Drosophila melanogaster: one gene and its partners. The protein of the gene in region 1 interacts with the protein of each later gene in a pairwise test. Each region holds a gene or a part of one and is shown in the gene's direction. Other genes may lie near its edges. The genes, in order: CG10654, fmt, Hr38 and CROT.

The links.
Region 2: the proteins of CG10654 (region 1) and fmt interact in a two-hybrid assay, tested with the Drosophila melanogaster proteins (one large-scale study listed by BioGRID).
Region 3: the proteins of CG10654 (region 1) and Hr38 interact in a two-hybrid assay, tested with the Drosophila melanogaster proteins (one large-scale study listed by BioGRID).
Region 4: the proteins of CG10654 (region 1) and CROT interact in a two-hybrid assay, tested with the Drosophila melanogaster proteins (one large-scale study listed by BioGRID).

Annotation. Positions count from the first base shown.
Region 1 is NT_037436.4:12,504,852-12,509,664, reverse strand, and holds CG10654 (uncharacterized protein), read left to right. Parts: upstream 1-1,824; 5' UTR 1,825-1,954; coding exon 1,955-2,515; intron 2,516-3,177; coding exon 3,178-3,855; 3' UTR 3,856-4,291; downstream 4,292-4,813. Other genes in the region: sti (sticky), read left to right, coding at 1-1,308; vih (vihar), read right to left, coding at 4,517-4,813.
Region 2 is NT_037436.4:6,169,026-6,175,607, reverse strand, and holds fmt (fiery mountain), read left to right. Parts: upstream 1-1,727; 5' UTR 1,728-1,848; intron 1,849-2,071; 5' UTR 2,072-2,171; coding exon 2,172-2,231; intron 2,232-2,297; coding exon 2,298-2,497; intron 2,498-2,551; coding exon 2,552-2,876; intron 2,877-2,937; coding exon 2,938-3,251; intron 3,252-3,313; coding exon 3,314-3,452; intron 3,453-3,507; coding exon 3,508-3,626; intron 3,627-3,686; coding exon 3,687-4,260; intron 4,261-4,315; coding exon 4,316-4,380; intron 4,381-4,438; coding exon 4,439-5,491; intron 5,492-5,665; coding exon 5,666-5,807; 3' UTR 5,808-6,039; downstream 6,040-6,582. Other genes in the region: CG7376 (uncharacterized protein), read right to left, coding at 1-1,110, 1,163-1,313.
Region 3 is NT_033779.5:20,711,557-20,716,251, reverse strand, and holds the start of Hr38 (hormone receptor-like in 38), read left to right. Parts: upstream 1-1,663; 5' UTR 1,664-2,782; coding exon 2,783-3,215; intron 3,216-3,951; exon of another isoform or gene 3,952-4,695. UniProt on the Drosophila melanogaster protein: Binds to NGFI-B response elements. Plays an important role in late stages of epidermal metamorphosis.
Region 4 is NT_033777.3:27,702,849-27,708,581, reverse strand, and holds CROT (carnitine O-octanoyltransferase), read left to right. Parts: upstream 1-1,830; 5' UTR 1,831-2,027; intron 2,028-2,080; exon of another isoform or gene 2,081-2,517; intron 2,518-2,677; exon of another isoform or gene 2,678-2,730; 5' UTR 2,731-2,740; coding exon 2,741-3,118; intron 3,119-3,194; coding exon 3,195-3,992; intron 3,993-4,061; coding exon 4,062-4,192; intron 4,193-4,252; coding exon 4,253-4,669; intron 4,670-4,725; coding exon 4,726-4,858; 3' UTR 4,859-5,203; downstream 5,204-5,733. Other genes in the region: CG12877 (uncharacterized protein), read right to left, coding at 1-1,205, 1,264-1,372; btz (barentsz), read right to left, coding at 5,649-5,733.

The DNA of each region.
Region 1 (4,813 bases):
TGCAAAGATGTTACGCATCGCAAGTGTCGCTCCAATGTTCAGAGCCATTGCGGATCCACCAAGCCGACTGCACCGTCAGCCGATGATCTTAGCAGTATTCAATCTGTCTCCAGCTTGACTTTGGATAGCGTAGATGTTGCGGGTGGTACAACCAGCGGTGGCGAGTACATTGGATCGCTGGTCTACAGTTCGGATGGTGCAGAAGATCAGGCACGGAAGGAGATCGAAGTGAACTGCGCCTTTGAAGTGGCCGAGCAGCAAATACTCCTATTGGGCTGTAACACGGGACTGTATGCGTATCACTTGGACTCGCAGCGATTGGTGCACATTTCTGGTCTCGAATCGGTGAGCTGCATGTCCATTTGCAAGCGCCTGGCTAAGGCTATAATGGTGGGCACAGTTGGCGAGAAGCTATATCAATGTGACTACCGCCAGCTGGAGTCACGCTGTCAGAGCTCCAGTTCGTGTCACAAGCCTGTGCTGGAAACGTCGGCCATTGAGCTGCCATTTGCCAATCGCACGCCATCGGAGAAATGGAAACTAGTGCTGATCTCCGATGAGGCGGAGAACGCATTGGATTCGGTGGCTATTGCGGCCACGTCCACTAGGATTGTCATCTTGAAGTACGACCTTAAGCTGCACATGTTTAAGCCAGTTCGAGCCTTGGACACGGCCACGCCGGTCACATCCATATTCTTTACGCGTCACTCGGCCATTGTTAGCTCGGATAAGTTCTACGAGATCGATTTGGACAACTATGCGGCTGAGGAGTTTGTGGATCTGTCCGATAAGTCAATGGAGAGCACTGCCAAGTGCCAGCCCCTAACTGCGGTGCGCATCTCACGACAAGAGTATCTGCTCTGCTTTGCCGAATATGGCGTCTTTGTGGACGAGTTTGGCTGCAGATCCAGGCCGTACGATTTGAACTGGGTCTATGCACCCACTGGATTTGTTTACCGCGATCCATTCCTATTCATATCGCACTATCAAAGCGTGCAGATAGTCCGTTTGCATCGGTCGTTCAGCAAGGAAATGGCCAGCGGGGATAACGCATCGGAGAATTCGGAATCCCCGGAACTGCAGCGCGTCTACTTGCCCCACTACATGTCCACGCTGCTGGCCAACAGCGGAGATGTCAATCTCTATGCCGTGGCCATCGATCAGAGGCCCTGCAATGGAACACAGAAGATCTACCATCTGGACACGATGCAGGCATTCAAGCAGAAGTTCAATATCTCCATGGAAACGCTGTCTTCAGTGGCCACTTCTGTGACTTTGGGCTCGACTGTCACCGGAAATAGCATATAGATGAAGGATATATATTAACTAAACGAATGGACAAAGCAAAATACTACAAACTGAGTAGTTGTAGTTATATCTAGGGTTAGGATATGCTATACATTTGGATTATTATTATTTTAACTTGTCAGAACATATGTTTTTTCACAATCTTTTTCATGTGTAACGATTGCCTAAAATCACATGGCAGAATCTTTTAAAAATTACTTAATTTACTCTTTAAATACTTTGTGCTGTATACACAAATAAAACTTGAGATTTTGATAAAAAAGGTAATTCATATTAAATTAATATATTTATTTTGATCACTAAAATATCGAAGCATATTAAAGGAAATATTTTTTAATTAATTAAAGAAGTCGCATAATATTTTAAATCAATTTTACTATGCAGGATAGCTTTTCGAATAGAATAGTTGGGGGCATGGAGTCGACGCCAAGCTTTTGGGGCTGATCCCACGCAGCTTTTCGGCAGCAGCTTTCAATGTCCCGCAATTCGAAAGCCCCGGAAATGGAATCGTGCTCTCCGCTGGCATTACTGCCATCGTTGGCTTGGCCGCTGGACGCCGGACTGCTGCACTGCCGCCGTCGCAGATTGTGTTAATTGATTTCAATTGGCTCCACGCCATTTGAGTGGCCCGTTGAATCTCCCGACGATGCCAGCAACGATGTTTGATTCCCAGCTGAGTTTGTGCGCGGGTCGCATTGTCGCCGATTCCACCACCACCACTACCTCCGGCATGGATGGATGCGATGGTGCCAAGACGATGATATGCCGCGCTTGTCTTGTGCTACTGGGTCCGCAGGATGCGTGTCACAATCTGGACAGCGAACAGGATCTGGCCAGCAAGTACTACGGCTGTACTGGAGAGGATGCCGTTAGGGATTTGCCACCCCAGTTGGTGCTGAAAAGCATCTGCGAGTGCTGCTATCAGTTGGTGCAAAAGTTCCACGACTTTCAACGCATGTGCGCAGAGTCCTTGCGCAATTTTGAGAAGCTGCTGCAGGACATCGACATCGGATGCCACAAACTGGAGGACCACACTTGGCACGACTTGGACACCCCCTCGGAGAGCAACGAGTCCACTAATCCGGAAGCCCAGTCGCACGCACCCTGCATCGCAGCGACGCAGGAGATTGTGAGTTTTATCTGGCCACAAGTGTGCCTGCCTCTGGCCGTAATCTTATCTAGAATCACATTGGGTGCTTCGCTCGAGGTGTGTTGCCTAGCAGCCAAGCAAAGACAATACTGCTCCCCATTCCCCGCCATAAACAAAAACATTTCGACAGCGTTTGTTTGTGTTGTACTATTTTTGTTTGGTGGGTGATAGCACTCGAAAAGGAGGCACGTCCCAATCTATTGGGTATTTTTAAATTTTCCACTAATAAAATTGGGAAGATGGCAACACGCCTCGATTTATGGCTCCTCCAAATAAGAAAGTCGATTTTAAAGGCCAGTTTTATCTAGAATAGATAAATGTGTTCCCTAACTTTCACTCATTTTAGATATTATTTATAGCGCCTTTAATATTTTTAGCATTAAAAAACTAAACTAAACAGATAAGTGACCGCCAAAAGTTCGGTTCACAAAATATTACTTTCATTTTATCATCTTCTAAGTCGAGCGATAAGATAATCTTAATAGCAAATTAAGGAAAAATTTCCACTTTAAAGTAATGAGTAAACATAATGTAATTCCTACCCTTACTACAAATTACTTAACTCAACCAAAAGCAGTTTGTTTTTATATGCTTAGACCCTTTTTACATAAAAAATTCCTTCATAATAGATATGTACAGAATTCCCACAAAAAAAAAAAAAAACCACCACCATTCAGTTTGCTATGGTAATTAAATATATAATACCCTAAATTTTCCAGGAGGAAGTCTACGTAATAGAGGACGAGTCAGCCAAACAGGATCTGGGCCAGGAGAAGCTATCCATTTCTAGCAAGTTGCTGGGTGCCAGAAAACGACGAGGAGTGCGACACACCCTCGAGTGCCGAATTTGCCACCGTGGCTTCTACAAACCGTCGCTGCTGGAGGCCCATATGCAGCAGCATGAGGGTCTGAGACCGTATACCTGCGTCCATTGTGCCAAGAGCTATGCCCGGGCCAATCTGCTGGAGTCGCACCTGCGGCAGATGCATAACAATGCCGACGCTGCGCGGATCATCTATGCCTGTCCGAGCTGCAACAAGGTGTACACAGCGAACCGAAGTCTCAAATATCACATGAGAAGGACGCACGAAAGGTATCACGAGTCAGAGTCCCCGGATGCGCGGCACATTTGTGAGGAGTGTGGCAAGTGCTTTGCGCGAAAGGCACATCTAACGCGCCACAAGATGGTCCATGGTAGCGTTGAGGGTCGGAGATACTGCTGCGAATGCTGCGATCGCAGATTCTACACCAAGGAGAACATGGTGGATCATCTGCTGCGCAAGCACGGCAATAAGAATCTGCTGCTCAGATGCAGAAAATGCGGACGCATTTTCCAGAACAGCGTGGAGCTCAACGCTCACGGGAGGAAACACAAAGCGATGGATGTAGTTCAATAATTCGTTTTATTTGTGGTTTCAATAACATCAAGCTAACACAACTGTTACAATGATTCGAATTACTTGGAATTTTGTTATGCCAGTATTGTGGGAGAATGCCGCATAATTGGAGATACTAAGACGACGCGAATGGTTGACGAATCGATGAGGCTGCCCTAAAATTAGCTAACATTCACATAATGGCCGGCGCAGCAGCATAGTCGCTTAAAAATCATCAGTACAAAAAAATGGCGATGGCGATGGCGCGCACTCGCAGTAGTTCTCAAAAAAGTAATCATGCGTATATAAAACAATTAACTAAAATTTATCCTTAAGCTTAAAGAACGGATGACAGTTTTAAAATTACATTACCAATACATTCATTTATCATTAATTTGTAGGGAGGAGGAAAGAAATGAGAATAAAAACCAGATTATCCGTCAATCGATCGACAATTACATAAGAAACGCACGGGGTCTTTTGCCAAATGAACTATCAGCATTGAACGTTGTTGAAATTGATCTGGTGATCCACTTAACTGATGGTACTGTGTTACGGTGGTGATTGATGATTGGTTTGTTGGTTGGCAGTAGGTCTTCGGATGAGTGGAGTTGCTTGCACTATATGTAAATAAATACGCCGCAATATGAGCATAGGATATATGACAACGAATTGCCAAACTCTAGGTGTCCTTGTGCTTCTCGTAGAAGGCGTCTAGATATTTTTTGTACTCCTTTTGGTCATTCCACATCATCGCGGCCTGCGCATTCAGTGGACTCTCGTTGTTCGGTTCGCCCAGCAGGGATTGTATGGACAGCAGAATGGTGCGCACATCGTACAGGGCCGACCATTTGTCCTTCAGTATGTCCAAACAGATGGCGCCCTGCAGATCAACATTGGGATGGAAGCAGGACGTCAGGAACTTCACCACGGGTGCTGCATACGGATAGGAATTGGGAAAATCCAGTGACAAACGATA
Region 2 (6,582 bases), 6.3 Mb from region 1:
GAGAGTTGGGACGCATGTACCTTTGTTGGTGGCGCATCTGGCGGTCCGACTTAAAGTCCGTCGTATGGTATATTTCGTTACGCAGAATCGTATAGTCGGTAAGGACGACATCGTACTGGGCCAGATCGAAAGGACTAACCCAGAAGGTTGAGTGTAGGCCGAAATAAAGGAGCACCTTAAGCGATGGCGATATATGCTTGTGTATCTCTTCGAACCACTGCATCTTGATGGCGTTCGGAGATACAATGATGGTAGCGCCGCTCTCAACAAGCCTTTCGCCAGACTTTACCAATTCGGACCAGCAGCTGGGACACAGGTGGGGTAAGTCTGATTTTTCTGAAATAGTCATGCACATTTCGTGTTGCCACCGACGGCATTTGGTGCACTGCACTCGTTTACCGTGTTTCTTGGTGCAGATGCAGAAAACCTCGTCTTTTTTACTTATACGTGACCGCTTTAATGGCACTTCATCGGAAAACTCCTCGAGGCGTTGGTGCCAGTAATCGTTTCGGTAGGAGTCTTGTGGGCGCGGATTCATCAGCAGCATGGCCAGGAACTCCACGGTCTTGCCCAGGCCCATCTCGTCGGCCAGAATGCCACCCGGCGGCAACGAGATTTTGGGAATCTCCTCCTCGAAAGGATAAAATTGTAAGCAGTATTTATGCTTAAAGACGCGAGTTATACCATCAATGGCATGGAGCACTATGAAGTTGGCCGGCACTTGAGTTATCTGCTGCTCCCGCCCCAGCATCCAAGATACTGTGCGCTGCTGGTACTTGCGTAGCTGAGATTGAAATCTTTTCGGCAGGTCTAGCGAACGTTCCTGTTCAACATGAACGGTCTGGCGGTGCTTTTCGTAGAGGGCGTCGTACAACTTGGTGGTTACATATGTTTTTAAGGGACGCTTGTGCTCCTTCTCCTGCTGGGCCACCTCGAACTCGAGACTGCCTCTGAAGTCTTTAAAGAAAAGGGGCAGAACTTGTTCTCCCACTTCCATCTCGATCTCACGTGCTCGAACATGCGTCTGTTCATGGCTTAGCACCAGGATGCAGGAGCCCGACTCCTGCCGAATGGATCTGAACTTCAGCTTTCTCGTCCGAGCATTCTGGCCTGAAATATTTTCTTATTAATAAGTGCAATTATAGTACGTTAGCCTACACACATTTTTCAATACAAATCAAAATCTCCTCTTTATGCTCAACGAGATTATCTTTGAACACCCATCGCTTCTTTCCGTAGCGGAACTCCGTTGGATCCTCGGGACTTTCTGGAGGTACTTCATCAGCAATTTCGCACAAAACAACGCCATCCATTGTTATTTGCGAAATAACAATTCGGACAAACAAATGTGCGATGACCGCCAATTCGATATACGATAACAGAAAAATCTATATCGGACACCAAATGACACACCTCCACAGCTTAAATTTAACGATTGCAACAGGGGAATCTTTATGTTCTCTAGAAAGCAAAACATTTTCGGTAAGTTATCAAATAGCAACTCAGGCAAAAATGAAAAGAAAGAAAACCATTTAAAAAGAAAACCAATTAAAGAAATATATTTATAATAAAGAACTGTATTTAAATCATAAAACATAATTGTATGTAGTTTAGTTTCTACAATATGTGCAGCGGTTATCGTGTGAACAAGTTGAAAAATGACAATCGATAACCGATTGTGTGAGGACACGGTCGATCGGCCGCATATATCACACTGAGTTAATATACCCTGTAATCGAATATTGTCCACCTCTACGAAGCAGTGAAGAAAATTATAGCGTGGTTTTTTCGGTTGAAAACCAATCAAAAGTGCAACAAACAGTGAGCAAAACAAAGTCCAGCCAACTCGTAAGTGTGCGCCCAAGCATCCCGCAACCCTTGCAATCTCAAACGACCGGCATACAACCATTTTTCGACCCGCATTCGTAGTGTATATGTGGAGCCTGCTTGGCATAATTACAAAAATTTACGCATTACTTTGTGAGAGCCGAGTGTTGAGCTGAGTCTAGTCTGTGTTCAGTGTATTAATTGCGCTATTCCGCTTATCCAAATCTCCAATCCCGTCCCGCAGAGCCGTGCATGCCAAGTCATCAGCGTTCCGCGAGTCCAGCGAAGATTGATCTTGTTTCCCCCAGACTGAAAGTGTCACCGCCAAGACGTACGTGCGAAAAATGTTTTGGGACAAGGGTTATGCGCCCTCCGCGAATATAGAGGCGCTGCTCGAGAAGGAGGTAGGTTGACTCGATCCGTGCTGATCAAGTGGAAATGTCTCAGTTACGCGTCGTCGCCATTCGCAGAACTCCACACTGGAGGAATTTCTGGACGAGGAGGACATACTGCAGGAGTGCAAGACGCAAAAGAAGAACCTGGTCAACTACTTTACACGTCCCGAGGTCATACGGCGTCTGGTGGAGCTGATCACGACCGAGCCCTCTGAAGATGTGCCCATGTCGAAGCGTTTCCGCTATGCCAACATGTCCTGTGAGATACTCACACTGTAAGAATTGAATGCCCGTTGCCATCCAGAATTCTATAGCCCATGCCATTTTAGCGGCCTGCCGTCCCTGGATGAGAAGCTACTGAACGACGCGGAGACGCTGCAGCTGCTGTATTCATATCTGGAAAAGGAACCACCGTTAAATCCATTGCTATCGTCGTTTTTTAGCAAAACGTTTAGCATGCTCTTTACCAAAAAGCCTGAACAAGATTGGTTTTTGTATCAACACATGTGCCTACAACTCCTGGAGTATATTAAATCGCAGAAGACCTTTTTGGATTTCATTTGTAAACACTTTGACACACCGGTCATACCTGATCTAATAATGCAGATGATGAAGGACATCGAGGGTGGGCGACTTAAGCGGAACCTTTTCGAAGTAAGTCCATTAGAGAGTTTTGCCTAGGCATACGAATCTTATCGAATATTTCTTTTAACAGTGGCTAACTGAAGATAAAATTGTTGAGAGACTGATTGCAATATTGCGTAATCCTCAAGAAACCGACAAACATGCAAATGTTGCCGACTTTTTCTGTGATCTTATTAACCAAGGGCGTCTAATGCGCCAGACCGAGCAGGAGAACGATTCGTTTGAGCCGGCCTTCGATGGATCCAACCCCATTCTGAAGACGATCGAATTTGCGGACACAATTGAAGCCTTGTTAAATGTGATTTTGGAACCAAACGCTCAGGAGAGCGCCATCTTATCAGGAATATCGGTTGTACTTACGCTAATCAAGCCAATTACCTTCACGTAAGTTATGCTGCCAGTGAATTTGTCACCTTATTCTAATTGATTTACATTTTTTCCTGTAGAGATGAGCCCAACTCGGATCGCCAGCGGTTGTTGCAAAAGCGCGAACGCGAAATCCACCAGGAAGTCCAGGAGACTGTGATCACTGTGATGGCGCCACGCCTCCAGGAATTTGTCCACATACTGAAAAACCCGCCTGCGGTTAGCATGAAACTTTTTGTCACAAAGAACCAGCTGTTTATCTTTTGACTTGTAGAAACCCACACTAGAAACCACGGCCGCCGTGTTAACGCCCCCATTTGGAAAGACTCGACTGCAAGTTTGTCGCGTGTTCACCGCTCTGCTGGAGACCAAGCATGAGACTATTCAGCAGGCGTAAGTCACTGCTTTATAGAAAGGAGAACTTTTAATAAATAATAACTTTTTATACTTTAGAATCTGCGCGACTGAGTACTTCAGCCTGTTGCTGGACTTTTTCAAGCAGTACTGCTGGAACAACTTCCTGCACACAGAAATGGAGAAGGCACTGTACGTGGTCTTTTACAACGAGCTGTCCAACAACAACACTGCATCCACGGAGGTCACGGATTACTTCACTGCAGACTGCCTGATCAATGCCTTTTTGAAGGTGGGCACGGAGGAGTCCGAAGTCGAGATGAAGAACGCTCTTAACGATGCGAAGCGCGCGGAAGGTGGCAAGGATGAGGAAGGGGGCGACATCGAAATCGAAGTGGCAGCTGCGCAGGAAGTGGCTGCCCAGACGCCCGATGAGCGACAGACAGCCGCAGAAGAAAACCAAGAGCATGAAGAACATATGAGCCAAGTGGAAGCCGCAGCTGAAGCAACAGCTTCTGAGGACGCCGAACCCAAAGCCCAGGATAATGAAGTGAAAAATAGTGAGGTGGATGGTGAATCTCCAACAGATCAGCAAGAATCGGAGGCAACGCTCAATGATCTCGACAAGACCAAGACCGTTCCGAGCCCTCCGCCTTCTGAAATGCAATCACATGTAAGTCTTAGTTGACTTTTGTACCCAACTAAACTTAATTCTCGCTGATTTGCAGTTAATTGTAAACTGTCATCTGATATCCAAACTGGTCGACTTGTGGCAGCACAATGCGCAGGCGCAGTAAGTACTTCAATTGACTAATTATCAGTCTGGCACATAACAAATGTTCTTTTTTTAGATCTGCTGAGAAGGGTCGACGTTTGGGCTATATGGGCCACCTTATTAAAATTCTTCGTCACATTACGAATTGTATATCAGAATCTGAACATATCGGTGATCTGATCACCAGCAGCCTAAGTGATGAAGATGAGGTTAAGCTGTGGCAATCGTTGATCGATGCGGAAACTGGCGAGTTTTCGCTGGCGGTTAAACAGCAGACCAAGCTCCTGGCCGACTGCAATCCTCACGAGGAGAATCAGTACAATGATGGATCCAATGACTATACTGGCGAGATAAATGCGTGGAACGTTGGTAATCTGCCGTACAGAGAAGTGGATTGTAGTGAGCTGAATAACACGTTGCAAGACATCTTCTTTGCCATAGATCAGAATCGGTTCCAGTTTGGTCGAAACATTGACGACGAAGATGATGACGATGATGAGCATGGCGACCATTCAGGCGGTGGTGATGGCCACGGGCACGGCATGTTCACCAAAAATTCGAACACGCTGAACAACTTGGCTGACCCTTGGGACATCCAGTTTGCCGTGCTTTCCAGCGCGCCTACGCAGGTTAACACGGGCACTGCCAACTGGGGCACGGATTTCAATTCGGATAACTTTGCTGATTTCGATGCGCACTTTAGCACATTTGGCAGCGATCTTGGTATGCCCATAAGTGCGCCGCCAGGTGAAGAGGAAGAGGAGGACTCTTCCCCAGCGCCGGAATCCGCCACACAGGTGAACCCAGAAGAGGAGCGCCAACCCGCTGAATCTATTGGCCTCGCTGTGGGCAAGGGCGTTCAGGATAATCTAGCGTGTACCGACGATCAGCAGGCTGAGTACGACAATAATGCCAACGTGGAGAAGGCCATCAGCGATAAGCTGGCCGAGTCGAGCGTGGTGGAGACTGCAGCAATTGTTACTCGATTGCAATCCGTACTGCTGGACGGCGAGGATGATTATGAGGACGATGAGGGAATGTGGACCAAGCCACTGGGTGCGGATCGTCCTTCGGAGACCGAGCAAATTACTCCCATTTCAAATGGACCAGACAGCAAAGTGAATGAATTGTAAGTTAACCCTTTTGCACGTGGGTATGTAAATATGTATATATGAAATGTTTATACTTTTAATCTATTTAAAATGCCAAACAAGTTTACACCTATGCAATGTATTGGTTTGTAGCTCAATTTTTTGTTTTACCATTTATTACTTAAATACATTGCACTTGTAATTAAAACCAGGGGTTTACCTTTCAGCAATCATGCCAACGATATCAGCAGTAACAACGTGGATGGCCACGAAGCCAACATCACAACGGAGCAGCAGAAATTGGCCGCTGCCGCCAAGACGAACAATGTTGAAATTGCAACTACGACCACATAAATGCACTTCCTCACCACACCATACATCATTCAAGCGATATTGTGTCGACGAGAAATTGTAAAAACGCCTTTGATTTGCTCTTTGGTCATTATCATGCATACATATTTATATAAATATATACCACATACTACTACTATACGTACATATATAACAGGCTGCATAGTACAACAAAAGATTTGTGTATTAGCAAAAGGCCGAAACCCGCCCAAAACCAAAATGCAAATTATCAAACAAAAAAAAAAAAAAAAAAAAAAAAAAAAAAAAAAAATAGCATCAAAAAAATATCAAAAAGCTAAAAAAAAATATTCACAGTAAAAAGTGTATTGTTGATTCCTTCTGCTCCTCGCTCGTATTGCCAATTATTTTAATTATTACACTTTCTTCATGTTTCCTAATTAAGAAAACTGTATTTTGTTTGTAATATGTATTAGTCTGTCGATTTAGTACGCTTTTACTTTCAATACTCTCAATGTGTTAGGCAACCTATGAGCATTACTTAAAGTACCAAAATTCACGCAACGTTTAGAATGCTTAGTTTATATTTGTATTGTATTCGTTTTAGCTCGATCAGATGAGGATTATCTATCTATTCATATGATATATGTATGTATATACATATATATATATATATATATATATATATACACTTTTGGAGCTGTCAGTAAATTACGTTATCGCAAAGTCGTACGTTATCGTCCTCCTATTGTGGGGAATCCCCTCCAATTAGTGGTGACGTAATATATGGACAACTCCGCACTTATACTTGTATTGTTAA
Region 3 (4,695 bases), on another chromosome or scaffold:
TAAACGCCAGAAGACGTCGCCGCCGCAAAGACGAGTCTGCGGATCCCGAAGATTTGGATTTGGGTTCGGGTGCCGAGCGCCAAGACTCTCACTCTCTGTGCAGTCGACGCTGGCAGCGCGGTCGACGCCGCGTCTTCGGGTTTACCGTTCTCTAGTCGTGTGTCGCCGATCTTGGGAGAGAAGATTTGTACTGGCTTTGCGTTATTATTGTTTTCCTCGTTGTTGTTTACGAGCTGCAAACGCCGGTGTCAATGGTAAAGTGCATTAATATTCCCGCTTTTCCGACGGCTCGCGGGGCGGGAAAATCGCTCGGATCGTGTTATTGCCAGTTATATCGGCCAAATGATTTGTGGCGCAGCTTATTTATATTTGGGGATGAGGAAAGAGTGATCTGGTTTATGAAGTGGCAGGATGGTATTTTGTTAAGTGGAAAAGCGAAATTGGCCTGGGATCTTGTGTGAAATCGATTTGTCTTAGCACTTGGAGTGAAATAGGGAATAAAAGCGGGTAACTGAGATAAATATAAAATCGTGATTTAAGTTGAAAGGAAAACCAGACTCATTTCTAGGCTAAAAGTCCGTTTTGCATATCAATTTCAATTTGAAATATTTATAGCATAATTATAAATTATATTATATAGCATAAATATAAACCAAATTCAAAAGTAGTAAATCACTATAAATAGAATATTGAATTCTTGCCATATGATACTTGTTATTCTTTTCGAAATTTCTATCTTCCTATTTAACATGATAGCTTTACTTTTCCACCCACGCTCACCATCATGGGATTGACTCACATAAACATATTCCTCGAAATCTGGTCCATTTTCCTTTGCTTTGAATACACCCACACACACGAGAGCAAGGAAGTCCTTTCCACCAAAACGACACCACAGAATGCCCACACAGACTTAGTACACTGAGAAGAATATGTAGTTTAAGACAAACAATAAAAAAACAAACAACATTAAAAACATGCTTTTTATAAATGCATTAGAGTACAGTCTACACATGGAAAAGAGATTGATATTTAAAGACAAGTGTGTAGATGATGTACAATGTGCATAAGGGAATATTCCTACAAATTGTACGTCCTTATATATCCTGAAATTAATAAACATGTTTCCTGTGTACGATAACTGAGAGAAACGGAAGTTTTGGCAGCAGGCGAGAAGTGGATACCCAGTGGGCGGTTGGAAAAGCGGAAAAGTGGGTGGCGGAGTGGTAAGCCGGAGCAGGTGAAACGGCACCAAGAGCCCCAATCAATCTCAGATGCGAGCAAAAGGGATGGCCAACGTCGGTTTTATGACGCACATAATTTCCGCTTCCGAACTGTCCCACTGGACTGCATTCGGAAAATCGGTCGCTGAAAATGGGTGGAGGGGATTTTCCGGCGCAGGCGCTCTGCCAACGACGTCATCGATTTTCCTCGCACGAGCTGCGCTCAGTTGTTGGCCCCAAATGACGTAATAGCCGGGCCGCAAAGGTAGGTCGTGTCCCGCTCGCTTGCCGTCGCCCCTCCCTCTCCATCGCACACTCACTCTCGCTCTCACTCGCTCTCGCGAGCGCAGCACGGCGCCAGCTGAGGCAGCGCTGTCGACGCGACGCGTTGAATATAGTCGCGTGTAACCGTAAAGATAAGTTCAGTCGCGTCACAGACGCCGCATTGTTAACAACTTTAGCCCAAACAGCCACCGCTCACGGAAAAGCCAATACAAAATATAGAACTTATATCGAGGCGAGCTCGATGGTTCTGAATTTCCGATCTTAAGTCAGCCAACTAAGACTTTAATCCACACAACTATATAAACATCGCGTTCAGTATTAACGAAACACAAAGCCAACATAGGTGTGAGTGCTCAAGAGTTAAACAATTGCAACAAGTTGTTGTTCTTTATCGATTCGTGCATTCGTTCTATGCGGAAACGGAAGCCGGTCGACAGCGCGGCGTATGCGTAATAACTTCCAACGGTTGACAACGCGGCGTATACTTCACCTTTACCTTTCTTAAGCGAACAATGCATATATTTCGGTGGGCAACGCTGCGTATGTTTGTTTAATCTATCTTACCCCGCTGCGAATGTGCAGTAAATTAATCTATAGTAATTCAAATTTCGTTTCATTTCTGAGAGACAAGACACAGATATTTTTGAACTGAAAGTTTTGCTAACATTTTAACGAGCACGTGAGCTGAAGAACAGTAGTAATTGTTTTTGTGTTGCCCATTGCGCGCGTGTGTGTATCAGTGTGTAAAGTGTAAGCAACGTCCTTGTGCCTCCCACTACTGCAACTACCACAACCGAATATATATGTATATGTATATAGAGACCCCAGTTGATATAGTATAGCGTGCGTAAGTCGTTACGTCGCTTACATCGTCACTTGGCCACTGCGCAAACGCCGGAAAAAAGGAAAGGCAACAAGAAAAAAGCCAAAAAAAAAAGGAGGCAAGTTCAAGTCTAAGGACACACAACAAAAACAACAGCCGGGCAAGGACAGAAAAATGAAGCCCGATAATAACTACTGCAATCAGAGCTACTGCGACAAAAGCTTCGGCCACTCCTGCCGCAGCCAAGAAAATTGAGGCAAAATCCCAGCCCAACTCGGAACAGTCGTGCTGGATCACCAGCGCCGCTCGGGGCGCCAAACAGGTGCCTATTTAGAAACCATATAGTGTGTGATCTGTGTTGTCCCGTCCTGTGTGCGTTTTATGTTTGTGTCCCATCATCACCATCAACATCATTGTTAATTTTGGGTTCTTTAACGGAGAATCGTGGTCTATGATGCGCGATCGGCTTGCCTCGCTGATTGTGGTGAAGCAAGAGGGCGGCAGCAACACGAGCATTAGCCACCACCAGGCAACGGCCATTAAGTGCGAGGCCTCACTGTACACCGAGAGCAGTTTGTTCCAGGAGATCAACAACAACTCCTGCTACAGACAGAACCTCAATGCCCCGACACACCAGCAGTCACACACATCACACCTGCAACACGCACAGCAGCACCAAACACACCAGCAACATCCCCTCTTGCCGCCGCCTCTGCCGACTCTGCCTTTGATTTACCCCTGCCGCAACCTCTTTCCCGACGGTTGCGATATCAATCACCTGGCCTGCTGCAGTTCCTCCAACTCCAACTCCAACTGCAACTCAGACTCGAACTCCACCTCCAGCTCACCCGGCAACAGCCACTTTTTTGCCAATGGAAACACATGTATGTATTTGGTTTTCCCTTTCGGCTTATCGGTGTTGGTGACTTTTTCGTTTTTTGTTTTTTTGTATTTTCCAAACTCAAACGCCGCTGTGGTGTTTTCTTCTAATTCGCTAATAGCACACGCGGCGTATACGCAATGTGCAGCGCGCATTGCCAAATCGGCCAAGAAGCTAACTGTTTGCTCAATCCGTTTGAGAAGGCAGGTCGGGAAAAAATCTGAAAAATGCAACTTGAATAAAAAAGGGGGCGTGGCTGGTGGGGGTAGGTTGGACAACGCACAATGACGACATAAATTTGCATGAAAACTGCTCAAAATGCATCATAAAAATGGTGAAAATATTAAGCTTCCATTCGCAAAATACGAGAGCAACCACAGTAGAGGTCAAGAAAATGAGGCAGAGAACTTTAAAAATTCTTGGATTATGATTCAAAAATGATTTAACAATTAAAAAGTTTAAGCATTTGGAGTACTATTAAAGGCAGCTCTAAAAATGTTCGGTATAGTTTTTTTTTAAGCACATCAGAATTAGTTTCAAGCTATCATTTGCATTAAAAATTGTATGCTATGAAATTTAGTGCATTAATAAAATTAATTGTATAGTTACATCAGAATTAGTTTCAAGCTATCATTTGCATTAAAAATTGTATGCTATGAAATTTAGTGCATTTGCATAAAATTAATTGAGGCAACTATACCGAACTGTAAAGACGGGCTTAAATCAATTACCACCACTTTGACCTTAGTTGTGTGTGCAGACCCGTCTTGGCTCTCGGTGAGCATGTGCTGCTGTTTTTGGTGTCGTACACATGTTTACCAGCGTCAGCAAAGCGCCGCAGTTTCAGCAGACGGCAGCGGACGCAGCCTGACGCAAAATGATTTACAAGCTGCACAATAAACACCGCACACAGATGCAGTGCGTCCGATTTCCACACAGATACTCACTATCGACGGCTAGGGATGGCCAATGCATTTTTATTAATAACCGCATAAAAAAAACATCGCCGATTGAAGCTCAAGCATGGGAAAGATAGATCGATCATTTCATTGCCGAGTGGGTGGTTGGTTCGGTGGGTGGTGTTAGGGCGCCCGGCGGTGGGGCATCCGATTATTGGGCTTACTAAACGGCTTGAAAGGCTTTGCCAATTCATTCGCTGCGGCAAAGTCGGTTAGCCACTTGTTAGCCGCTTCTTAAGCGACTGTATTTTGCGGCTAACTTAGCGCCCATTAAGTGTTTCCCAGCAATCAGCTTTTAAGCACTCTGCGGTTAGCGTTTTCAACTGCAAGTGGGCCATGTGAGCCTTCAATTCACAGGAATCTACTATATGCACATTCTAAATTGATTTAATTGTCAATATTACAGAATGATTATCATGCGCTACATATGGATAGGTATCCTTTCGATAGTCTTCGGATAGGTTTTTTGAAACAACTACCCAAGTAGAAAATTAGTTTCTATGGTGAAATGCAGTTAAACACTAA
Region 4 (5,733 bases), on another chromosome or scaffold:
GCGCATCGCCGCCGAAGGAGCCAAATGAGGCGTGATCTTGTCAGCATTCTCGTGGGCCACCCGGCGCTTCTGCAGAGCCGCCGTGGCTGCCTCGGTGAAGGTATCAATGTCCGGAGAAGGAGCTTTGCGCTTGCGAGAACTCTCCGGGTTGGCATTGCCGCCTTCGTCCTTGTGCATCTGCGCAAATTTTTTTTCCATCTCGTCAAAAATCATTTCACACTGGCGTACAATTTCTCCTTCCGAGGTGTCTGCTTCAAAATCAAAGTCCATGTCATCCAGATCATCCATAGGTTCTGCTGGTGTCAGTACAGCTGCTTCAGTATCCTTATCCGCCTCCGGTTCGCTCTTTGAAGTGCCAGCGCTTTTGCTGGAAGACGAGCTCCTCTTAGTTTTGGACCGTGAACTCGAGGAACTAGATTTGTGATGATGGCTCTTCGAGGAGGATGATGAAGAACTGCTCTTGTGCCTGCTACTGGAACTTTTGTCGTCGCGGTGCTTATCGCTGCTGGATGACTTTTTGCTGGAAGAGGAGCTAGATGAAGACTTGTGCTTAGAGGAACTTGAGCTTGAAGTATTTCGCTCCTTGGAGCGCTCCTTGTCGCTGTGGGAGGACTTTCGCTTATCCCTATCATTTTTTTCCTTCTCTCTGTCCCTTTCCTTGCTCTTCTCTTTGTCTTTTTCCCGGTCCCGGTCCCGGTCCCGATCCCTGTCTTTGATCTTTTCCCTTTTCAGCTCTCTGATCTTCTTCTTTTCTATATCCCTTTCCCGCTCCTTGCTGGGCTTTCGATCCTTTTCGTGGCTATCCCTAGCATCCGTCAGTTGCGTATTCTCCTGGTCCTCCTCGTTTTCAGCTACCGTATCTATCTTCTGTTCTTCGTCGTTATTCTGGACTTGCTCCTCAATCTCCACCTGCATCTGCTCATCAATTTCCTTTTCGAGTACCGCCTGCCAATCGTCATATTCTTCGCCATTTGTAACAGATGGCTGGCCGGGCACATATTTGGGAGCACTGTCCACGGACGCCTCCTGCTTCTTCTTAGCCGGCGATGCGTCAAGAGCCGGCTTCTCCGGGTGGTACTCCAGATTGGACTTCTTCCGGGGCGCACATAGCGTGATCTGGGGCAGTGGAAGGGAGAGCAACTTGGGTGCCGGCTTGTACTTGGGCACGGGGGAAGGTTCTGCAGGTGGAGCGGCCTCCAATTCGTCTGTAAACCGAGAGTGGATAGAATTTGTTGCGAAATTAACTGGACGTAATTCACTCACCTTTGCGAGCATGCTTAAAGTGGCAAAAGGGGCGCTTGCAGGACGCCGCATCCTGGCCGTCAAAGTAAGGGCACAAGAAGCCCTTAAAGAGACCCGTGGATGGCAGCATTTCCACCTCTTGCTGGGATTAGAAATTTAATAAAGCCGCTTGAGAAAACAAGCGTCCCAAATTTCTTTCTATTCTTTCTGCCTGTCTCTTTCACTCATTTCGACAGATGTCAGCTGTTTCAGCTGCTGGCGGCGTTGCCAGATAGGCGTCAGCATGGATGCTATGAATGGATGCTAAGGAATTAAATTAAATAAATTTAAATAAGTTTTAAATATTTACAAAACATTGAATGACCTATTTAATTAATAATTGTAAACAATATTCGCATTTTGTTAACGGTTACAATGTACGTTTATGGCAGTTGATTGCATCAATCCGGGAGGATTATATCTTGCGGTACGATGTACAATGCTATGCGATGTTAATAAGAATAAGATGTACGTAATAAGAATGTGGTGACTAACGGTATAAACAAATGGTGTAAAAAGTCTGGCAACTCCTGCAAACAGCTGTTTGCTGTGCCAATTTCCTATAGGGTCTTCGCCGCTTGTAAACAAAAACGCAGCAGTATAATAATAAAAATAATTGTTTAACCTATAAAATTGTTTGCTTATCTAGCCTAATGAACTTGATAGCTGCGGAACCGTTTTAATTTCGATCGAGTGCATCGCAAACTGAAGTTCGGGCGCGACATTCAACTGCCGCCTCATCGAAGGTTTGTGTGGGTGTGTCTGCTGGAATATGTTATTAAAAAAGAAATTCATATAGAAATTCAAATGAAACCGGCCATTATCGGTGGCCGACTGTCTGCAATAGCAATGATTAGGGTGATATATTATCGCACTGAGTCAGTGGACGCGGGTGGCGGATCCCACGGTGCGATAATTCAAGTGCTCCCCCTCCGGCAAGGTTTGCTGTGATATGGAACCAACCTATGGATTCAGTCGTATAACGGCAGTCTGGCGCTTCAGTTGTCTCCGGCAAAAGTGAATTCCCCATCGAGTACAAAGGTCAGTGGGCTAGAAATTCGCCTATGATTTCACCAGTGCGCCGGGAGTATAAATATTTATAAAGCTCCCCAATCCGGACTTTGTCCAGCTTGAGGAGATTAGTGAAGATAGTCGTCTAGCTGCAGTCCAAGAAAGATTACGTTCAACTTGACGCATAATCCGCTTAGTTGCACATTAAGTGTTCTTAGTTGTGTGGTATTAATTTGCACACCATTTTAATGTTTAACCTATAAGATGAGATCAATTTATTTCCGATGTGAATGTACTCAGTAATGTATTGGGTGAACTTTGGACCTGACGAACGTAAAAGCGATTCCCGATATGATTATTGTACTAATCTGACTTAGGCCTATAGAAAACCACCACACGCGCAGACTGATATCAACGATTCCAACGTGTCCCCCGCAGCTAAACCACCATGGACCGGGCTAGTCTATATTTTATGAGCAAGGATGATAAGAACACCTTCGACTTCGACGAGACCTTACCTTCGCTCCCGCTGCCGGAGCTTAGGGACACCATGGAGCGCTACTACAGCTGCATCCAGCCATTCGGGACCAAGGAGGAGTTGGCCCAGGCCCGCAAGACTATTGATGAGTTCCAAAACGGAGTGGGAGCCCAGCTGCACGAACAGCTCAAGAAGCGGGCGGCCGGCATGAGGAACTGGCTGGGCACCTGGTGGGAGGACTACGGATATCACCTGATTCGGATGCCGCTGCTGCCCTACCAGCTCATGGTCATGCCCTCGCAATTGGAAATGGTGGGCGTGCCGGAGACACCGGAGTACATGCTGAAGGTGAGTGGACCCACACCCCAAGCTCTATAAGAACACAAAGTTTAAGATTGCCTAATTGACTGTATAATTTTCGAAGAGTCTGGCGCGCCACATTCACCACTCGCTGGAGTTTTGGGATCTGACTAGAAAGTCCAGCATCAAACCGCTCTCCTCGAACGGCGGTAAAATAAAGTACTCCTCCGCGCTGTACAAGCACTTCTTCTCCACGTGCCGTGTGCCAGGCGAGGAGCAGGATCATATAGAGAAGCATTTTCTCACCAAGGATGAGGGCAAAACGCCGAGTCACATGCTTATTTCCGGCAAGGGACGTCAGTTCATCTTCGATTGTGTGCACGAGGACGACACTATCCTATCGGCTCCCGAAATCCTCGTGGCCCTGCAAAGAGTGCGCAGCATCCTCGACTACGAGCCGTTGGGCGATTGTGTGCCCACCCTGAGCCATGACGAACGCTCCACGTGGGCACGCAACCGCAACCGTTTGAGGGAAATCTCAGTTGCAAACAAGGAGACGCTGCTTCTGGTGGAGAGCGCATGTATGGAGATCTGCTGGTACGAGCAATCGCCCAAGGACTACGAGGAGTCCTGCCAGCTGGGTCTCTACGGTGATCTCCATTCCCGCTGGGCAGACCGCAGCAGCAGCATCATCGCCTTCCGCAACGGACGCTGCAACTGGACGGGTGAGCACAGCTGCTACGATGGCACGGTCAGCATAAGTTACGCCACATTCATGCAACTGAGCTTCCTGGAGGTGCCAGAGCCAGACTGGGCAGAGGCCGAAAAAGGCAATGTTTTGGAGGTCAAGGAGCTGCACTTCCAGCTGGATGATACGCTCAAGAACGAGATCAAGCGCGTGCAGAAGGATATTGATGACAGGGTAGGCAAAACGCCTTTTTCCGAAACCTGTTATTGAACTAGTTAATCCTTTTGTATGTGGTATCCTTAGGGTATTGACGTTACTGTGACCTTCACTGCGTTCGATGACTACGGCAAGGACTTTATGAAAACCCATCGACTGCATCCAGACTCCTTTGTTCAGGTGGTCATGCAGTGGGCCTACTACCAAATGCATAAAGAGTGAGTTCACCTCTGGACTAAAAAAAACAGCACTAACAACACTCCATGGATATCCAACAGAATTGCTCCCACATATGAGACTGCTCTGATGCGACAGTACTACAATGGACGAACAGAGACCCTGCGATCATGCACTTCCGCTGTGGCTGAATTCCTGAGGGCGTCATCCAACAAGCAGGTTGGCGATATGTCACTGGCCAGGGCGTTCCGTAGGGCAGTCGATGAGCACAAGCACTTCATGAACGAGGCGCGCAAGGGACACGGCATCGATAGGCACTTGTTTGGCCTGTGGTGCGCGGCGTATGAAAGCAAAATGGACATTCCCGCCTTCTACGACGATCCGATGTACACCAAGAGCGGCGGAGGAGGTAACTTTGTGCTCTCGTCCAGCACGCTGGGCTTCACGGCCAACGTTGGTTTCGTGGCGCCCATGGTCTTCGATGGCTATGGCGTCTTTTACTCCATCACCTCGGAAGCGTAAGCTAGACACTCCTCCATTATCTTGAATTGTTCTTTAATTTCGTACATTCTAGTGTGTTCATTAATACCACCGCCTATCGGGATAGCCTAAAGACAAGCGCTCGCAAGTTCAACGACATTTTCAAGGACTCATTCCGCCGCATCAGCGTTCTCCTGGAACAATTGGCCAAGGAATCCAAGCTATGAAAAGCTCATCTAGTATTAAGAAAAGATCTAATCTTACTTTATGTCGTCATTGAAATTCAGTTCTCATTTTTAGTTCCAATCAGAAAGTAGATTTTTGGTTTTTCTTTCCATTTTGTTTCAATTAGCACAATTACCTAGATTTTAACGAACAGTCGAATTTAAATATTTTTTATTTGAAATTGGATCCCTAGTTCAACCCACCTTTCACCGGAAACTAAGTGAAAACGCAGACTTCGTTGGTAGTTTGTAGTTTGACAGAAAGGGTGTGCAGCATTTGTAACTTCGTGTTAAACGTTTATTTAAATTCAATGATCGATTAGTTTTTGCAAATACATTTCTCTCGGTAATTCTTGTGTTTCAATTCTAAAATGCGGCTAAATAAGCTAAGCGCCCAGCCGCTTCAATACGTTAGCCGGCCCTAGATACTACGTACAAATTAATTGGAGCTTGCGCCGGATTACAATATATATATATATAATCGTCTATATACGAAAACTTTTCGTTAGTAATTTCGATTATCTGGGAGCTAAATGCTAATTACAAGTGGTTCTCACTGCGTTTCTTTATTTATGCAGTACTTTTTGAGTCGCAGACCCAAGGACAGAATGGGGGAAAAAAAATCGTATGAGTTGAGTTAGGAGCTGGGCTGTCCGCACTAGTGCGGCGGGGGCGGAGGTCGATAGTAGCCAGCGTGCGGCTGCAGCATTGAGTAGCCGGAGGAGGGCGGCGGCGCTATCCGTTGGCCTCGTCTCTGCTGCTGCTGTGGCGGCAAGCCGGCGTACGCCTGCACTCATTCCTGCCCAGTGGCCGGAACTGGCTGAAGGTTCTGCTCGGCAGCCGGTGGAGTGGCTGCCGCCTCTTCCTTTGTTCCCCCA